2 linked regions of the Elephas maximus indicus genome follow. The protein of the gene in region 1 purifies or fractionates together with the protein of each later gene. This does not show direct contact. Links are inferred from orthologs where the notes say so. Each region holds a gene or a part of one and is shown in the gene's direction. Other genes may lie near its edges. The genes, in order: USP43 and YWHAE.

Region 1 (9,244 bases):
ATAAATCGGTAAACCTAGCATTATTCTAGGTGCTGGGGATATGACAATGTCCCTGTTCTTGTGGAGCTTGCTTACTTTATTTATTTCCTCATTTATTTTGGGTGGGAGGGGACGGATTTGGACAATACACATGTAGATGGATAAATGAGTGAACAATGAGTAATAAATGAACAAGACGATATGGATGGTGGAAAGGCTAAAAAGGAAACAGCAGGTGCTGTTGAGTCAAAGTTGACTCATGGCTCCCCAGTGTGTGTCAGAGTAGAACAGTGCTCCGCAGGGTTTTCAGTGGCTGATTTTTAAGTAGATCACAAGGCCTTTCTTCCAAGGTGCCTCTGGGTAGACTCAAACTTCCAACCTTTTGGTTAGCAGCCAAGTGCATTAAGAGTTTGTATCACCTGGGAACTCCAAAAAGGAAAGAGAACAAGTTATATGTGCACTGGCTGAGTGGGGGGAAGCTCCTTTAGCTAGCATGGTCAGGGGTGAAAGCCTCCTTTAAGGAGGTGACATTTGACTGAGGCCTTAGATCCAAGGGAAGAGCATCCCAGACAGAGGAAGCTGGAGAAAGACTGAGCCCCTGATAGGGTTACCGAGGAAAGCGTGGCTTTGACTTCCTTGCCATGGAAGGCAGGTAGTCAAGCCCCAGCTACTTCTGTGGGTGTGACTCCTCAGAAGCATGGATTTTGGTATGTTCTCATATACTTCTTTGTGTTTCTACCATGAAAACAGAACTTTTTATTAAAGCAACTTAAGCATCAGTAGAAATTATAAGGAAAAAATACTTTAAGTGGGATACCCAGTTTGTAGCTAGGCTCAGAAGAGCACAGTTTCTAAGCACAAGGGCTGGAACACAGCATGTTTCCACCAACATGAAGCAAAGATAAGTGGGGTAATACATGCCCAACACTCCTGATTCCTGGTCAACCTGCTCTTCATTTAGAAAGAAGTTTTATTTTTGAGTAGGCTGTATATTCACAAGTTTCAAAGTTCAGCAACAGTATATTCAGAGAAAGAGTTCTTTCCATTCGGCCCTTCTCCCAGCCTCCCTATCCTAGTTTCCCTCCTGGGGAGGGGTCCAATGTTATCACTGTCTTTAAACCCCACCCTGCTGAATGCTTTATTGCTTCAAGGAAGAGGAAAGAGTTGAACTAAGGGTGGGGTGAGGAAAAGGAAGGAGTTCCTGGGGGGTGCAAATGGCGAGCATTCTTGGCTGCTGACCCAAAGGCTGGCCCCCAGAGGCACCTTGAAGAAAGGCCTGGCTATCTACTTCTGAAAAATCAGCCATTAGAAACTCTGTGGAGCACAGTTCTGCTCGGACACATGCAGGGTCGCCATGAGTCAGACAGACTTGATGGCATCGGTGGTGGTGATGGAGGAAGAGGGAGAATCCAGCCACAGTGGGAAGGTGACTTGGTAAGGCCCTGCCTCCTGAAACTCTCCAGACCGCTCATTCCCCAATCAGAAGGAAGGAAATGCTTTGTCCTGGCTCTGTTTCAGAACAAAAGCTGGAACCCCGGGTGCCTTTGCTGTTTTCTTTCTTTTACAGCTTGCTTCAGACTCAATCCCCTTAGTCTTATCAAAAGCACTTTCTGCCCCAATCCAGGTTTATCAGCATATCAACATCTCTTGAAATAGAATGCAAAATATTAAACAAATACAAAAATAGGGTAATGGTTTCTCCTCCCCCTGCCTTTGCCTATTTATAATTTCAGCCCATCTCACCCCTCAGTGTATTTTTACTACCTTCTATATAAAGTCAAGCCATCTTCTGGGAACCTGTGCGTGGACCATCCCACTGAGCTGAATCCTGCCTAATGCTTCTTTCCTGAATTCCAGATTGCTTACTGGGAAGTATTTGATGGGTCGGTAATCAGAGAGCTGGAAGGTTCCTTGTCTGGGTCAATAAATGGGATGGATATCACAGTGGAAGGAGTGCATTTTGTTACAGGTTAGTCTTGGGATCAGAAAAAAACGTCAGGCTTGGCTTCCTTAGATGGGAACATGGGAATCTCAGGTGGGAGACAAGTCGAAGAGACCACAAAAGGGTCTAAAGGGCAACCTGGTTAGACTCGGACTTGAACACTGCAGCTAACATGGCTGGAAAAGAAAAATCCAAAAGTTGCCTTTCAAAGACAGGAATGTTTGCACAGGAACATTAGGGACACACAAAAAGATCAGCCTTCCATTGTGGGCTTACTTTTCTTTGGTGGCCACTGATGATAAAAATGGAACTTTAAATGGCCTGGTCTATTCAGATGCCTTCCTATTTTATTTCCTGCCAAAGCCTTAAATGTGAGTCTTTTTATTCACTTTTATTATGGAATGACACTATGCCCTCCACCAAAATAAATGAATAAATCAGCATTTCAAGGGGTCATTTATCACAAAACATGCCAGTTGGAACAATATCAACGTTGTTTCTTGCCAGGCATTTTGATCCTCCAAGATATTAAGAAGTAAATGCTCCAAATGAGTTAACGCGTCACAAATATATTAACTTAAAGCTATAAAACTAGACAGAGTGTCATTCCAGTTAGGCACACAGTTGTATATGCTTACCTGTACACTTCTAGAAAGAGACCCTGGTGGCACAATGGCCAAATGCTCGGCTGGAACCATGAGGTCGACAGTTCGAACCCTCCAGGCCACGAGGGAGAAAAGACCTAGGGAACCCTGTGGGGCAGCTCTGCTCTGCCATATAGGGTGGGTATGCGTTGCAATCGACTCTACGGCATACAACGACAACAACACTTGGAGAAAAAAGACTGAAAGGAACTAAACCAAGAATGTTATTTATGGTTTTTCTGGGTGGTGAGTTTAAGGGTGATTTTACCCTCTTTGTATTTTTTTCCTCCCAAATTTACTACAACAGGCATAGATTTTTATAATCAGGGGAAAGTGTTCGTCTAAACACGAAGAATGTTTAGAAAACAATCCAGTTATTTGAAATCAGGGCTGTTTCTCTCCATCCAGGCACTACTGCCGCATTATTAGATAACTTTGTCTTTTTCAGGTGGAAATGACCACCTGGTGAAAGTCTGGGATTATAACGAGGGTGAAGTGACTCATGTTGGAGTGGGACATAGTGGCAACATCACACGCATCCGGATAAGCCCAGGCAACCAATACATTGTCAGCGTAAGTGGCGACGGAGCCATCCTGAGGTGGAAGTATCCCTATGCCTCATGAAGCAGCCTGGACCACCTGGAGCCACCGCCTCACCCAGTTGTGTTGAAGGCTGAGCTTAGGTCACTCCAAGACTGGTCTGGATTTCTCATGCCTGTGTTTTTGTTCCTTAGCCCAACTATCTTACGTCTAATTTTCTCCTTTCCCTTGTAGAATGCATTTCACATTCATAAATTTTATATTAAAATTGAAATGTGCTCAAGAATGGTATATCTAGACTAATTAAAACAGCGTTTTTTTCTATTGTGACTAAATCCGAGTTGTTTGTTCCCTGTCATCAGCTCTTTTCTGTGGAAAAGCCCCAGCCCTTCCCCGGATAGCATTGCTATTACCCCCTAAAATTAAGGCGGGCTGAATTTACATTCTTAATCATCACTTCAGTAGTCAAGCTGCATGGGGCAAGACTTGGGTTTGAATCCAGATCTCGGGTAGATTTCTTAACTCTCTGAGCCTCAGTTATTCTTTTGTAAAGTGAGAATAAATTCTTGCTCAAAAGGTTATTGTGAGAATTTAGTGATACAATGTATTAAAGCCACCACTTGTCTGTCAGTTTGTCATACTGTGATGTTGCTATGGTGCTGGAAGCTATGCCACCAGTATTTCAAATACCAGCAGGATTACCCATGGTGAACAGCTTTCAGTAGAACTTCCAGACTAAGACATAGGAAGAAAGGCCTGGAGATCTACTTCGAAAAATTAGCCAGTGAAAACTCTGTGGATCACAGAGTGTTGTCCGAGACTTCAACTCACTTACTTGGGACACGTCATCAGGAGGGATGGGTCACTGGAGGAGGACATCATGTTTGGTAAAGTGGAGGGCAAACGAAGACAAGGGAAACCCTCAATGAGATGGATTGACACCATGGCCACAACAAGGGACTCAAGGATGCCAGTGGTCACAAAGACTGCAGGACTGGGCAATGTTTCATTCTGTTACACACAAGGTCAGCATGAGTCAGGAGCTAACTAAATGGTAACTAACAAAAACAAGAACAACAATAATGTGTTAAAAGCAGCAGTGGAATTCCTGGCACAGAGTATAGACTGAAATGTGAATTATTCTGTGTTGGCAAGTTAAATGTGTTTGTTATTGTCTTAGTTCTCTGGTTGTTGCTATAACAGAAATACCACAGGTGGATGGATTTAACAAACAAATTTATTCTCTGACAATCTAGGAGGCTAGAAGTCTGAATTCAGGATGCCAGCTCCTGGGGAATTCTTTCTGTCTATGTCAGTTCTGGGGGAAAGTCCTTGTCATCAACCTTCCCCTGGTCTAGGAGCTTCTCAGCACAGAGACCCCAGGTCCAAAGGACACGCTTAGCTCCAGACACCTCTTTCTTGGTGCTATGAGCTCCCCAACTCACTGCTCACCTTTTTCTCCTTTTATCTCTTGTAAAATAAAGTGATGCAGGCCACACCCCAAGGAAACTCCTCTTACATCCCATCAGGGCTGTGACCTGAGTAAGGGTGTTGCATCCCACCCTAATGCTCTTTAACACAACCTAATCATGCCTCGCTTACCACAGGCAGAGATTAGGATTCACAACACAGAGGATAACTCCATCAGGTTACAAAATGAAAGACAACCACACAATACTGGGAATCATGGCCTAGCCAAGCTGACACAATTTTAGGGGGACACAATTCAATCTATGACAGTTAGGAATCTTGGGGTGACTACCAAAGATGGAATTTCAGAGATGTTTTGTTGGGGACGGTCATAAAATCTTTCTTCCATGCTTACTACCAGAGAGGTGATGGAAGGGACCGTTTTTTTCCAGACAGGGTAAATGAAGGCAGTTTTCCAGAAACACCTCAGGACTCCACTCACAATCTTTTGTTCTAAGAATATTCTTCAACGAGTACTTCTTTTTTTTTGCATCAGGAAAACTGCCGCTATCCTATTTGAAATACCAAGAAGGATATTTAATAAAGGATGCTCGCTTATTAAATAACAAGCAACATTTCAGGGCGTTGATGTAATATGCATCCTGGTGATCTCTTTTTAAGCGAAAAAGTGATGAGAAATTCATTTTGCAAGACCTTGCCTGATTAATTATAAACCTGACAGAGGATGATGTGAGCAGAGGCCCCGGAGTTACCCAGGGAATCAAGGGCCGGGCAAGGCCAAACTCATTCTGATACGATGACGACTCAGCAAGGATTTCGTGTTAAGGAGTGAACAGGAAAGCGCGTAGGGGGCGCGCCTGAGAGCCGGAAAACTTCCTGGTGAGCTAATACCGAGGTTGTGGGAAGGGCCTGCGCGGGGCAGTTCGCAGCACCGGGCTCCAGTTCCGCTTTCGTGCTCAGCCGGGAGCTGAGCTCCTGCACGCTAAGTTAAACCTCCCTGAGCCCGTTTCTCCACCAATTAGAACGAGGACGATCAAGTCTCACTTGGAAGTTTTAGGGACAATGAGTGATTTGGTCTGTACTTCCAAAAACAAACCACAGCCACCCGGGTGATTCTTCAGTGGGTAACACGCGGTTCCCAGGTCTGATCCCAGGAGGGCGCGGCAGAGCGAAGGCTCTTTTCCAAGGGGGCAGCGTGCCCGCACACACCTGAGTCTGCGGAGGAACTAGCAGTCGCTGAAACGTTCCCCACCCTTCGCAGCTGTGCACCTCTCTCACTGCTCCTGAGGCCGCCCTTTTAAGGCCATCTCCCCTTTTCCTTCATTCACCTGGACGTAATTTCAAGAAGCCTACAAATAGCCCTGGCTTTGCGATTTACTAGGGGCTTTCAAGTTTATCATTCTTCCGTGGTAGGGGAGGAGCCCTGGAGGCGCAGTGGTTAAGAGCTGGCTGCTAAGCAAAAGGTCTGCAGTTCGAATCCACCAACCGCTCCTTGGAAACCCTATGGAGCAGTTGTACTCTGTCCTATAGGATCTCTGAGTCGTAGTCGGCTCCACGGCAACGGGTTTGGTTTTTTTTTTTTCCCCCCCCCGTTTATGGTGGCGGAGAAACCGAGGCAGAGGTTAAACCCAGGTTCGTTGGCTTCTCAGAGGTAAGGAAGGGTTGGGACCGTGACAGCAGCGACTCGCAGTAGGGTGGCCGGGCACAGCCCGGGGCTGGCCTTGGGGCCGGATTCCCCGAGGGGCGGAGCAGCCCTGCCCTTAGCTCCACCCCCGCCCGCTCCCGCACACCTGGCCCGCAGGTAGCCGGCGCCCCGGCCCCTCTCCGAGTCTGTAAGAGCTTGTTAGCCGCTCGCCCGCTTCGGGCCCGTGGGCTCTGCGCGGGGAGCCGCGCCGGCGGGAGCCATGGACCCCGACCCGGGAGCGGAACTGGCCGGCCCGGGGGATGCGAGCGCACAGGGGCCGCCCCTGCCCCGCCGCCGCAGCTCCCTACGCCGCCTGCTCAGCCGCTTCCTGCTGGCTCTGGGCAGCCGCGCCCGCCCGGGGGCTTCGCCGCTCCGGCCCGGATCCTGCAACGGCGAAGGCGAAGGGGGCTTTGCCCACGCCCGGGTCCCGGCTCCGTCCGCGCCCGGGAGCCCCGGGGAGGAGCGCCAGCCCAGACCCCAGCCCCAGCTCCCCGCTGGCGACGGGGCGCGGCCCCCAGGCGCGCAGGGGCTGAAGAACCACGGCAACACCTGTTTCATGAACGCCGTGGTGCAGTGCCTCAGCAACACCGACCTGCTGGCCGAGTTCCTGGCGCTGGGACGCTACCGGGCAGCGCCGGGCCGCGCCGAGGTCACCGAGCAGCTGGCGGCGCTGGTGCGCGCGCTCTGGACGCGCGAATACACGCCCCAACTTTCCGCCGAGTTCAAGGTAGGCAGCGTGCGGCCACAGCCCCGAGCCGGCCCTTCTGGTTTCGCTTTTTGAGAAGTGCATGTTCAGGGAAGGGTTTTCTTGGGCCTTCTTCAGATGGCAAGGACCAGCTCAGCCTCGCTTACCGCCTTTGTCTTGAGTTAGTTTGATGTTTTGTCACTTGCCTGTATTTTCTTTGTGAATTAATTTCTCCCAGGTATTTTGAGCGGCGGCGCGGTGGGGAGGTCCGAGAGGGGGCTCTGAGTTTATCTAACAAATAGATTTGTTGAAGCGTCGAAGGCCTATGGGCCAGACAGTGTTGTAATGCTAGTGACGGAGCTTCCGGTCTGCAGGGGTGGGGAGCGGGGAGTCGTTCATGGAAGGCCTGGGAGGAAGGAGGTGGGTTGAGACCCTAGTGATGAGAAGCACGGAGCCAGGCCAAGATCAGGGAGTAATCCAGGAGAGGCAACAGTACAGGCCAGGAAAGCTGAGTACTGGAAGCAGGAAAGAAAACTCCTGTCTCTGGAGCTAAGGGGGATAAGGAGGGAGGTGAGGGTGGCTGGAGCCAGTACGGTCATGGAGGCGATGGTAAGGAGTTCGAATTTTATTCTAAGTCCAGTGGAAGCTGAGAACCCACTGTGGGCCAGGCACTGTATTGAGTGCCCAGGAGAGGCAGTGGTGCGCCATTTTGGAGATGACATCCTTTGGCCTGATGCCCTACTATGTGTTAGCATGGGGTTGCATCCAGTGACCCCAGGATCACGTCGACCTGCTGCGGATGCTGCAGGGAGGAGGCTTTGTGAATTGTACTACGTCACCCAGGGTAAAACACAGCGTTTGGGTCTGTTTGGAGTAGAGTTCATGATAATGGATGCCCATGGCTGGCTTCCTGCTGGAAAACCACAGCCCGGGCAGAGAGCAGAAGCTGCCCACAGACCAGTGCTTGTTGCTCTTTGGGGGAGGGGGGAACCTGTCAGTGTTCATTCCACAGGCATTAGGGCTCTTGAGTTTCAGCCTGAGAAAGCAGCCCTTGTGACCCAGAAGGAGGCCAGCCCCCACCTTCCTCTCTCCTATGTCTTTAGCGAAGTAGTGTTCTGAGTAGTCAGTGGATCATCAAGCAAATGTCATTAATGCCTCTTTTGGATAACATTTTATTTTATTTTTTTAGTGCGAGAGACAGTATAGTGGTTATAGCTGGAATCCTAGAGCCCTCCTTAGCTTTGTGATCTTGAGGAAGTTACTAAACTTGGCCAGGCCTCAACTTTCCTCATCTGCAAAATTGGGTCATAATGAATGAGTTGTATATGTACAGCACTTAGAACAGTGCCTGGTCCACAGGAAGTGTTTGTTATTGTCACTATGAATATACTTTCTCACCTGCAGAAACCTGGAGGAGGGAGGGAGGTATTCCTTGTGTTGCTTTTTTCTTGCCAGATGCAGTCCCATCCAATTACTGCCTTGATGGGAGAGGCTGGAGTACCTTGAAAAAAAAGTTCCAGGTTATGACCCTTGGTGACTCACCAGGGTTTCTTATCTTCTGCTCTCAAGTCCCTGAGGCCTGGAAGCTCCCTTCAAACCTTGGGGAATTAAGTGTAACTTAGTAGTTAACCTTTTTTTTTTTTAGTAGTTAACATGTTAATGAGGGTGACCTAACCTGGAGTTTCCTGGGGCTTTGGAGTAGCCAGTCCTGGAGGATTCCACAATCCAGGTTTTTAAAAACCTTTCCTATTGAAATCTGGGTGGGTTCTTCATATTTTACAGATGAGGAAACATTAATTTCATTCAACAAATATTTATGGGGTGTCCAGACACTGTGCCCAGAGCATGGAATACTGATGAGTGATAAGTAGAAAACCAGATCCTGGGGCTGCTCTCCGGGAATTTACGATGTAGTGGGAGAGACACCACACCCAAAACCCATTGCCTTAGAGTCCATTTTGACTTCATAGCGACCCTATAGGACAGAGTAGAACTGCCCCATAGTGTTTCCAAGGCTGTAAGTCCTTACGGAAGCAGACTGCCACATCTTTCTCCTGCAGAGTGGCTGGTGGGTTTGAACTTCCAACCTTTTGGTTAGCATCCAAGCACTTAAGCACTGTGCCACCAGGACTCCTCGTGGGAGAGATGAATATTAATTAAATGATCACACAGGCACACGGTGACAATGCTGGAAAGGGAAAACACATGGCACTATGGCCGGGGGGGAGCCCTGGTGGTGCAGCGGTTTGGAACTCAGCTGCTAACCAAAAGTTTGGCAGCTGGAATCTACCAGGGGCTCCTTGGAAGCACTATGGGGCAGTTCTGCTCTGCCCTATAGG
Region 2 (9,075 bases), about 9.3 Mb from region 1:
TGGTCAGGAGTTCCCTGCCGGGAGAGAAGACCCAGTGGATAAAAGAAGGTTACCTCCTAATCTCTGCATGTCCTGTCGTTAATCTAGGAGCAAAGCTGACTTTTTTTTTAGGTGGGGTGACATATGTGAACACATGGGTCAAAACCTGTGACTGAACTTCATTATTTGGCCACCCTTATTGGTCACCACGACTTCATTCTCATTTCTCTCAAATTATTTTTGCTGTGTCCACAAGTTGATTCTGACCCGTAGTGACCCTCTAGGACAGAGAACTGCCCCATAGGGTTTCCTAGGCTGTAATCTTTGTGGGAGCAAAATTCCAGGTCTTTTCCCCTTGGAGCTGCTGCTGGATTCGAACCACTGACCTTTTGGTTAGAAGCTGAGCTCTGCACCATTGCTCCACCAGAGCCACTTTCTCCCAAATTATGCTGTACGGTCGCTACGAGTCGTAATCAACTGGACGGCAACTGGTTTGGTTTTGGGTTTTGAGTCAGAATCAACTCTACAGCAACGTCTTTTTTGGTATCTCTTCACTGCTATGCTTTTCAAGAGAGCTCTACACTTAACTGCTTTCATTTCCTCACCTTCTTTGGGTCTGAACCAAATGTAGTCTAGCTTCCAACACCCTTTCAAAACTGCTCTTGAAGGTCAATAATGACCTAATTGCTATATTTAATGGCTTTTCCTCAGTGCCAGTCTTACTTAATGTCTCTGCAGAATTTAATACTACTCACCACACCCTTGGAAACCCTGGTGGGTAGTGGTTAAGTGCTATGGCTGCTAACCAAAACGTTGGCAGTTCGAATCCACCAGGCGCTCCTTGGAAACTCTATGGGGCAGTTCTACTCTGTCTTATAGAGGCCATATGATTCAGAATTGACTCGATGGCAACAGGTTTGGTTTGGACCACCTCATTATTTTTGAAACTCTTCTCACTTGTTTTATGACACTAATGTCTCCTGATTCTCACTCAAACTTGAGCCACAGAAACATTAATAATACATAGTTAACATTCATTGAGTATCAGGCATCTTCCAGGTAACCGCCCACTTGATTCTCATTTGTATGAGGAAAATATCATTCCCATTTTATAGGTAAGAAAACTGAGGCTTAAAGAAGGTGAGTGACTTGCCTCCATTGCACACGCAATAAGTAGCCCTTGAACCCAAGGAATCCAAGAGCAGAGGCCATAGTCTTAATTGCTAGGACGTGTTCTACAGAGCTGGAAAAGGTCAGCAGATCCAGTTCCTTCACTTTACACATGAATTCGAAGCTCATAGAGGTGAAGTGACTTGCTGAAGGTCATACATTTATTCAGTCCTAGAATTTTTTTCTTTTTTTTAGAATTAGTACTTCCCCTCGTGTCTGTCAGTTTGTCGTACTGTGGGGGCTTGTGTGTTGCTGTGATGCTGGAAGCTATGCCGCCAGTATTCAGATACCAGCAGGGTCACCCATGGAGGACAGGTTTCAGCTGAGTTTCCAGACTAAGACGGGCTAGGAAGAAGGACCCGGCAGTCTACTTCTGAAAAGCATTAGCCAGTGAAAACCTCAGGAATAGCAGTGGAACACTGTCTGATATAGTGCAGGAAGATGAGCCCCCCAGGTTGTAAGGCACTCAAAAGATGAGTGGGGAAGAGCTGCCTCCTCAAAGTAGAGTCAACCTTAATGACGTGGATGGAGTAAAGCTTTCAGGACTTTCATTTGCTGATGTGGCACAACTCAAAATGAGAAGAAACAGCTGCAAACATCCATTAATAATCAGGACCTAAAATGTACGAAGTATGAATCTAGGAAAATTGGAAATAGTCAAAAATGAAATGGAACGCATGAACATCGATATCCTAGGCATAGAGAGATGAAATGGACTGGTATTGGCCATTTTGAATTGGACAATCATACAGTCTACTATGCTGGGAATGAAAACTCGAAGAGGAATGGTGTTGCATTCATCGTCAAAAAGAACGTTTCAAGATCTACCCTAAAGTACAACGCTGTCAGTGATAGGATAATATCCATATGCCTACAAGGAGGACCAGTTAATACGACTATTATTCAAATTTACCCACCAACCAGTAGGGCCAAAATGAAGAAATAGAAGATTTTTATCAGCTGCTGCAGTCTGAAATTGATCGAACATGCAATTAAGATGCATTGATAATTACTGGCGATTGCAATGGGAAAGTTGGAAACAAAGAAGGATCAGTAGTTGGAAAATATGGCCTTGGTGATAGAAACAATGCCGGAGATCGAATGATAGAATTTTGCAAGACCAACAACTTCATTGCAAATACCTTCTTTCACCAACATAAACAGCGACTATACACATGGACCTAGCCAGATGGAACACACAGAAATCAAATTGACTACATATGTGGAAAGAGACGATGGAAAAGTTCAATATCATCAGTCAGAACAAGGCCAGGGGCCAACTGGGGAACAGACCATTAATTGCTCATATGCAAGTTCAAGCTGAAACTGAAGAAAATCAGAGCAAGTCCACAAGAACCAAAATATGACCTTGAGTATATCCCACCTGAATTTAGAAACCATCTCAAGAATAGATTTGACGCACTGAACACTAGTGACCGAAGACCAGACGAGTTGTGGAATGACATCAAGGACATCATCCATGAAGAAAGCAAGAGGTCACTGAAAAGACAGGAAAGAAAGAAAAGACCAAGATGGATGTCAGAGGAGACTCTGAAACTTGCTCTTGAGTGTCAAGCAACTAAAGCAAAAGGAAGAATTGATGAAGTAAAAGACCTGAACAGAAGATTTCAAAGGGCCTCTCAAGAAGACAAAGTGAAGTAGTATAACGACATTTGCAAAGAGCTGGAGAAGGAAAACCAAAAGGGAAGAACATGCTTGGCGTTTCTCAAGCTGAAAGAACTGAAGAAAAAATTCAAGCCTCGAGTTGCAATAGTGGATTCCATGGGGAAAATATTAAACGACGCAGGAAGCATCAAAAGAAGATGGAAGGAATACACAGAGTCATTAGACCAAAAAGAATTAGTCGATACTCAACCATTTCAAGAGGTGGCATATGATCAGGAACCGATGGTACTGAAGGAAGATGTCCAAGCTGCTCTGAAGGCACTGGCAAAAAACAAGGCTCCAGGAATTGATGGAATATCAATTGAGATGTTTCAACAAACAGATGCAGCGCTGGAGGTGCTCACTCGTCTATGCCAAGAAATATGGAAGGCAGCTTCCTGGCCAACTGACTGGAAGAGATCCATATTTATGCCTATTCCCAAGAAAGGTGATCCAACCGGATGTGGAAATCATAGAACAATATCATTAATATCACACACAAGCAAAATTTTGCTGAAGATCATTCAAAAACGGCTGCAGCAGTATATTGACAGGGAACTGCCAGAAATTTCAGGCCTGTTTCAGAAGAGGACGTGGAACTAGAGATATCACGGCTGATGTCAAATGGATCCTGGCTGAAAGCAGAGAATACCAGAAGGATGTTTACCTGTGTTTTATTGACTATGCAAAGGCATTCAACTGTGTGGATCATAACAAACTATGGATAACACTGCGAAGAATGGGAATTCCAGAACACTTAATTGTGCTCATCAGGAACCTCTACATAGATCGAGGCAGTTGTTCTGACAGAACAAGGGGATACTGATTGGTTTAAAGTCAGGAAAGCTGTGTGTCAGAGTTGTATTCTTTCACCATACCTATTCAATCTGTATGCTGAGCAAATTATCCGAGAGGCTGGACTATATGAAGAAGAATGGGGCATCAAGATTGGAGGAAGACTCATTAACAACCTGTGTTATGCAGATGACACAACCTTGCTTGCTGAAAGTGAAGAGGACTTGATGCACTTACTAATGAAAATCAAAGACCACAGCCTTCAGTTTGGATTACACCTCAACATAAGGAAAACAAAAATCCTCACAACTGGACCAATGAGCAACATCATGATAAACGGAGAAAAGATTGAAGTTGTCAAGGATTTCATTTTACTTGGATCCACAATCAACAGCCACAGAAGCAGCAGTCAAGAAATCAAAAGACGCATTGCATTGGGTAAATTTCCTGCAAAGGACCTCTTCAAAGTGTTGAAGAGCAAAGATGTCACCCTGAAGACTAAGGTATGCCTGACCCAAGCCATGGTATTTTCAATCACATCATATGCATGTGAAAGCTGGACAATGAATAAGGAAGACCGAAGAAGAGTTGACGCCTTTGAATTGTGGTGTTGGGGAAGAATATTGAATATACCATGGACTGCCAAAAGAACAAACAAACCTGTCTTGGAAGAAGTGCGGCCAGAATGCTCCTTAGAGGCAAGGATGGCGAGACTGCATCTTACATACTTGGACATGTTGTCAGAAGGGATCAGTCCCTGGAGAAGGACATCATGCTTGGCAGAGTACAGGGTCAGCAGAAAAGAGGAAGACCCTCAACGAGGTGGATTGACAGGGTGGCTGCAGCAATGAGCTCAAGCATAACAAAGATTGTAAGAATGGCGCAGGACCGGGCAGTGTTTCGTTCTGTTGTGCATAGGGTAGCTATGAGTAGGAACGGACTCCAGGGCACCTAGTAACAACAACACAATTAGTACTAGAACCCAAGTCTTTTGAGCCTCAGTCTTTTATCATTGGAATTTGATAAATTAGGGTAAGAGTGTGAAGTGACATAATTTGGAATGCATAGGGAGCCACCCAGTCTCCTTCGCTGGCTCCTCTCTGCTTTCACTTACCTTAATGTAGGAATTCTCCAATGTTTTGTGTTTGGTCCTTTTCTAGCTCTATATGCACTCTCTAGGCACTTCCAAGCAGCGTGAGAATTGGAAGCCCTTCCGCCTATTGCCAACCAAACCAAACCCATTGCCGTCAAGTTGATTCTATCACATTTTCTCCCACAGAGCGGCTGGTGGATTCAAACTGCCTATCTTCCTGTTACCAGTCAAGTTCTGAACTACTGTGCCACCAGGGATCCTATGGCCAAACACAGCAGGGCCCAACTCTTTACACTGGGATTAAAGGAATCTCAAAAGCTCTGGGACGGAGCAATGTAGGAGTGGCAATGTAGGACAGGGCATATTTATTTCGGTGACAAAGGCCTGCAATGATCAAAACCATTATGGCCTCTCGTTTTCTTTGCCCGTAGTCCAGGCCTCGACTTGCTCGTGTCCCTCGGCTCCCTCGAGGTGCGGTCCAGGCCCATTTCGCCTCCCGACCCCCGCCTCCCTACATCCCCGCGGACCGTCCTCCCTCCCAGCAGTCAGCGTTCCCGCCTCTGCGCTCCAGCGCCTGCTGAGCCGACAGAGGTGTGCCGTCTCGAGGGTTCCAGCCTCTTCTGGCGGTGATCTCCAGGACCCGCCCCCCCGCGCCAGTTGCCAGGGAGCGGTTACCATAGAGCTGAGCAGTTGTCCGCGTGCGCAGGCGGAAGTCCCGGATTGAGGCGCCGCCATTTTTGCTGCCCGGACGCGGAGCGAGAGGCTGAGAGAGTCGGAGACGCTATCCGCTTCCATCCGTCGCGCAGACCCTGCTTGAGCCACCGCCGCTATGGATGATCGGGAGGATCTGGTGTACCAGGCGAAGCTGGCTGAGCAGGCTGAGCGATACGACGGTGAGTTGGTGGGGCAGCGGAGGGCTGGAATTCTCGGACCCTCTGCCGCCGCCCACTGAGGCCGGGAGGAGACAAAATGGCGGCATCGTCTCCGCGCCTGGCCCGGGGACGTGGATTCGGGAAGCAGGAAATGGCCTATGGGCTCCTGGAGCGATGGAAGGCTCCAGGCCCAGGAATTTGACCCCTTCGGCGTCCTCAGTTGTAGCCACTCGCGGACCGGGAGGCCGAGGCGATAGGGTGGAGGAGTTGATTGTAAAATGGCGGCTGGGGGAGGGCGAGTCTCGGGGCGGGGGAGGGGGAGGAGATCTCGGGTGCTGTCTCCGGACGTGCAGTCCCCAGGGGAGCTTTTGGGACAGTCTTGGGATGTGGAGAACAATTGGTTGGGGTGATGGGGGAAGAAACGCCCGCCACATGGGGGAGAGTGGAGACTGGGAGCTGTAGCGCTGGCGCCTTTGAGGGAAATATGGCGGGTGGGGGCGGTGGCTTTTCCCCGGAGGCCCAGTGTGGGGCGGCGGCTGTGGAGTCTCACAAAGGAGAACCTTTGCGAGTGGAGGGCTTCCTTGGGCTTGTGGTGGGGGGTGTAGTCCTGGATGAGAGTGAGAGTAGGGGGAGATGGGAATCACTGCAGTTCATCTTTGGGCGGAGACAAGCTGAGATGCTGCGATCGGATTTCTTCCCGTCGGCTGGCACACCTTGGAGGAGGGTTTTTTGGGCTTTACGATCTGCCTCGCCTTCTTGTTCTGGGGAGGTCCAGAAAAATCTCACTCATACTCTCTTTTTTCAGGCTTATCCCTCAGAGCTCGAAGTTTCCTGGTATCATTTGGCTCCAGAAACACTGGGTTTTAGTGGATAGGACATTAAACAGGAGGCGAGGAGATCATGACTGTCAGTTTTAGGTTTTGTAATGCCTGTGCCTCGATTTACCAGTTTGTAAAAATGATGGCTTCCCCGTTCTCACGAACGCACCGTTATGACAAATGGAAGGATCTTCTGTTGAACGAAATTATCTAAAATGATGTGTAGTAGCCGTATTTTGGTCGAGTCCCCAAGCTTGGAATGCGTGTTTTACTTTATTGGAAATCTTAACCTGATTCAGGCGCAGAACTGAGGCTTGAGTCTTTGAATTAGGCGATTCCAGGAGAGTCTGTATTTTCTTTTTTGCATATGAATTAAATGGTTTTATGCACAGTTTTGAACAGTTCCTCTTCTGTTTATTGCTTCTTTGTCCTGAAAGGTTCTTTAGTAATTTTTCAGAACTTTATCGAATGGCCGTTGTGTCTGTTCAGTTAGTCCCAGGCAGTTTCCTTTTCAACATAACTCCTCTTCCCACCCCTCCCCTTCACATACACCCACATATCACACATTGGACCTAGGTACTTGTTACCCGTACATCCATTAAATTGCACTGTATTAAAAACCAGCATTACGTGGTCTTACACAAATAGGTTATTTCTAATGTTTTTTTTTCGCGGGGGGGCGTGTGGCGGGGTGAGACGTGGTTGGAGTCAAATGCCTTGACCCATCTCGTAATTACTTAAGCTACTGATTTTTCGAAATTTTCTTCTCAAGTACTTAAGCCAGTTATTTTTTAAAATGTAAGGTAGGGCCCTTGGTTTCTTGAATAGCGTCAGGGCTAGTCCCCCTGTGTCATTAGAAATTAGAAATCAGGGATTTAAAAATTAGAGGGAGAAGGCCTCCAGAAGTCAAATTTAGGAAAGACACTGCACTGAATTTTTTCTTGTAAATCTTTAAGTTGTTATTGGTATTGAACGAGGTTCCTTTTGGAAGGGGGAGGGGTAATAAAACGGGAGAAGTACAGCTCAAGGTCAGTTTGTCTTTATTTCGGTGTTTAAAATTCAAACAAATGTAGGTGTACTTGTAACGGAGTTGTTTTTTCCCGCCTTGTGCCCCAGATCGGTTTCACCCTTAATCTACCAGTGCCCTTGCGAGGAAACTTAACATTATATTTGAATACTTTCGGTTGTATAGAGATTTAGGCTGTGAGTAAACTTGATGTGATAACAAAAAGAATGTGGAGGTTTTTTTTTTTTTTTTTGAAACGGATTGGGAAACTCATGATTGTAGTTTCCAAACAAATCATAGTTTAATGATAATTGTATTTTGGAGTTGAGTGCTGAGGATTTAAAAGCAAGATCTTTATTGGTTATTCAACATAGAATGCTTTTGATAGAGCCACATTATTACGTTGTTCAAATGTTAGATTTCCCTTTCAGAATCTAAAGGGGAGGGACATAGGACCTACAATGTGGAGAAGAACTATAGAGAACTCTGACAATTGGGAGCTTAAGAATCAGTGGAAAGGAAGAGGAGGAGGAAGGTGCAACAGGAGTAAGCCTGTCTTTACCTGTATCCACAGATGCATGTTGTTGTTGTTGGTTGTAGAGTTGGTTCTGACACATGATGGACCTCATGTGTGCAGAGTAGAATGATCCATAGGGTTTTCAAGTCTGTGACTTTTGAGAAGCAGAATGCTGGGCCTGTCTTCAAAGGAGCCTCTGGGTGGGTTTGAACTGCCAACCTTCAGCTAATAGTGCTTAAGTGTTTCTGCCACCCAGGGACTCTAGAGAGTCATAAAACCAAAACCAAACCCGCTGCCGTCGAGTTGATTTCGACTCATAGCAATCCTATAGTACAGAGTAGTACTGCTCCATAGGGTTTCCAAGGAGTGCCTGGTGGATTTGAACTGCTGACCTTTTGGTTAGCAGCTCTTAACCACTATCCCACCAGGCTTTCCCTTTAGAGGCTAAAAAACCAAAAACCAAACCCAGTGCCATCGAGTCGATTCCGACTCATAGCGACCCTATAGGACAGAGTAGAACTGCCCCATAGTTTCCAAGGAGCGCCTGGCGGATTCGAACTGTTGACCCTTTGGTTAGCAGCCGTAGCACTTAACCCCACTACACCACCAGGGTTTCCTGTAGCGCCATAGGTTTCCTTTATTGAGTGCAGTGAATTCAGTTTTGTGTCTGGTAACAAAAAATGATCCCATAGTCCTGGTCACCAAACAAAGTTTACTACCAGGTGTGGGGAGTAGGAAAAGATGAGGATGCATTTGAGTGATTTGTTTTCTGGGTACTTGGATATAAATGTTGGTTTCCCAATAGTCCGTGCTTTTCTCCTCGTTTCTGTATTTTGCATGCTGTGTTGAGTTTAATGCCTAAACTCCTTTTTAGCCTTACTTACCTATCCTGGGAGATTGGAATCAATTTATATATATATATATATTTTTTTTTTTAACGATACTAGAGGAGGAGCTAAGCTTTGTACAGGAAAAGGACAATTTCGGGTTGCGGTTAGAAAATATTGAAGTTTGGGGCCAATAAGATTGTTCACCTTGGAGATCAAATCCCCCATCCCGTCACTTTAACAAGTCAGTAGCTTAAGGAATAAACTACTGGTGCAATGCTGGACTGGTAGGCTAAAGGCTTGGTAGCCTGCTTCCATTAGGATTACAGCCAA

The links.
Region 2: the proteins of USP43 (region 1) and YWHAE purify together in Homo sapiens (affinity purification with mass spectrometry; 3 studies listed by BioGRID and IntAct, with this or other methods). This does not show direct contact. The link is inferred for Elephas maximus indicus from reciprocal best matches to the Homo sapiens genes USP43 and YWHAE.

What each region holds. Positions count from the first base shown.
Region 1 is NC_064837.1:11,020,683-11,029,926, reverse strand, and holds the start of USP43 (ubiquitin carboxyl-terminal hydrolase 43), read left to right. Parts: upstream 1-5,541; 5' UTR 5,542-6,440; coding exon 6,441-6,947; intron 6,948-6,967; exon of another isoform or gene 6,968-7,086; intron 7,087-9,244. Other genes in the region: CFAP52 (cilia- and flagella-associated protein 52), read left to right, coding at 1,837-1,948, 3,014-3,189. UniProt on the Homo sapiens protein: May recognize and hydrolyze the peptide bond at the C-terminal Gly of ubiquitin. Involved in the processing of poly-ubiquitin precursors as well as that of ubiquitinated proteins.
Region 2 is NC_064837.1:20,284,821-20,293,895, forward strand, and holds the start of YWHAE (14-3-3 protein epsilon), read left to right. Parts: upstream 1-5,412; 5' UTR 5,413-5,531; coding exon 5,532-5,595; intron 5,596-9,075. UniProt on the Homo sapiens protein: Adapter protein implicated in the regulation of a large spectrum of both general and specialized signaling pathways. Binds to a large number of partners, usually by recognition of a phosphoserine or phosphothreonine motif.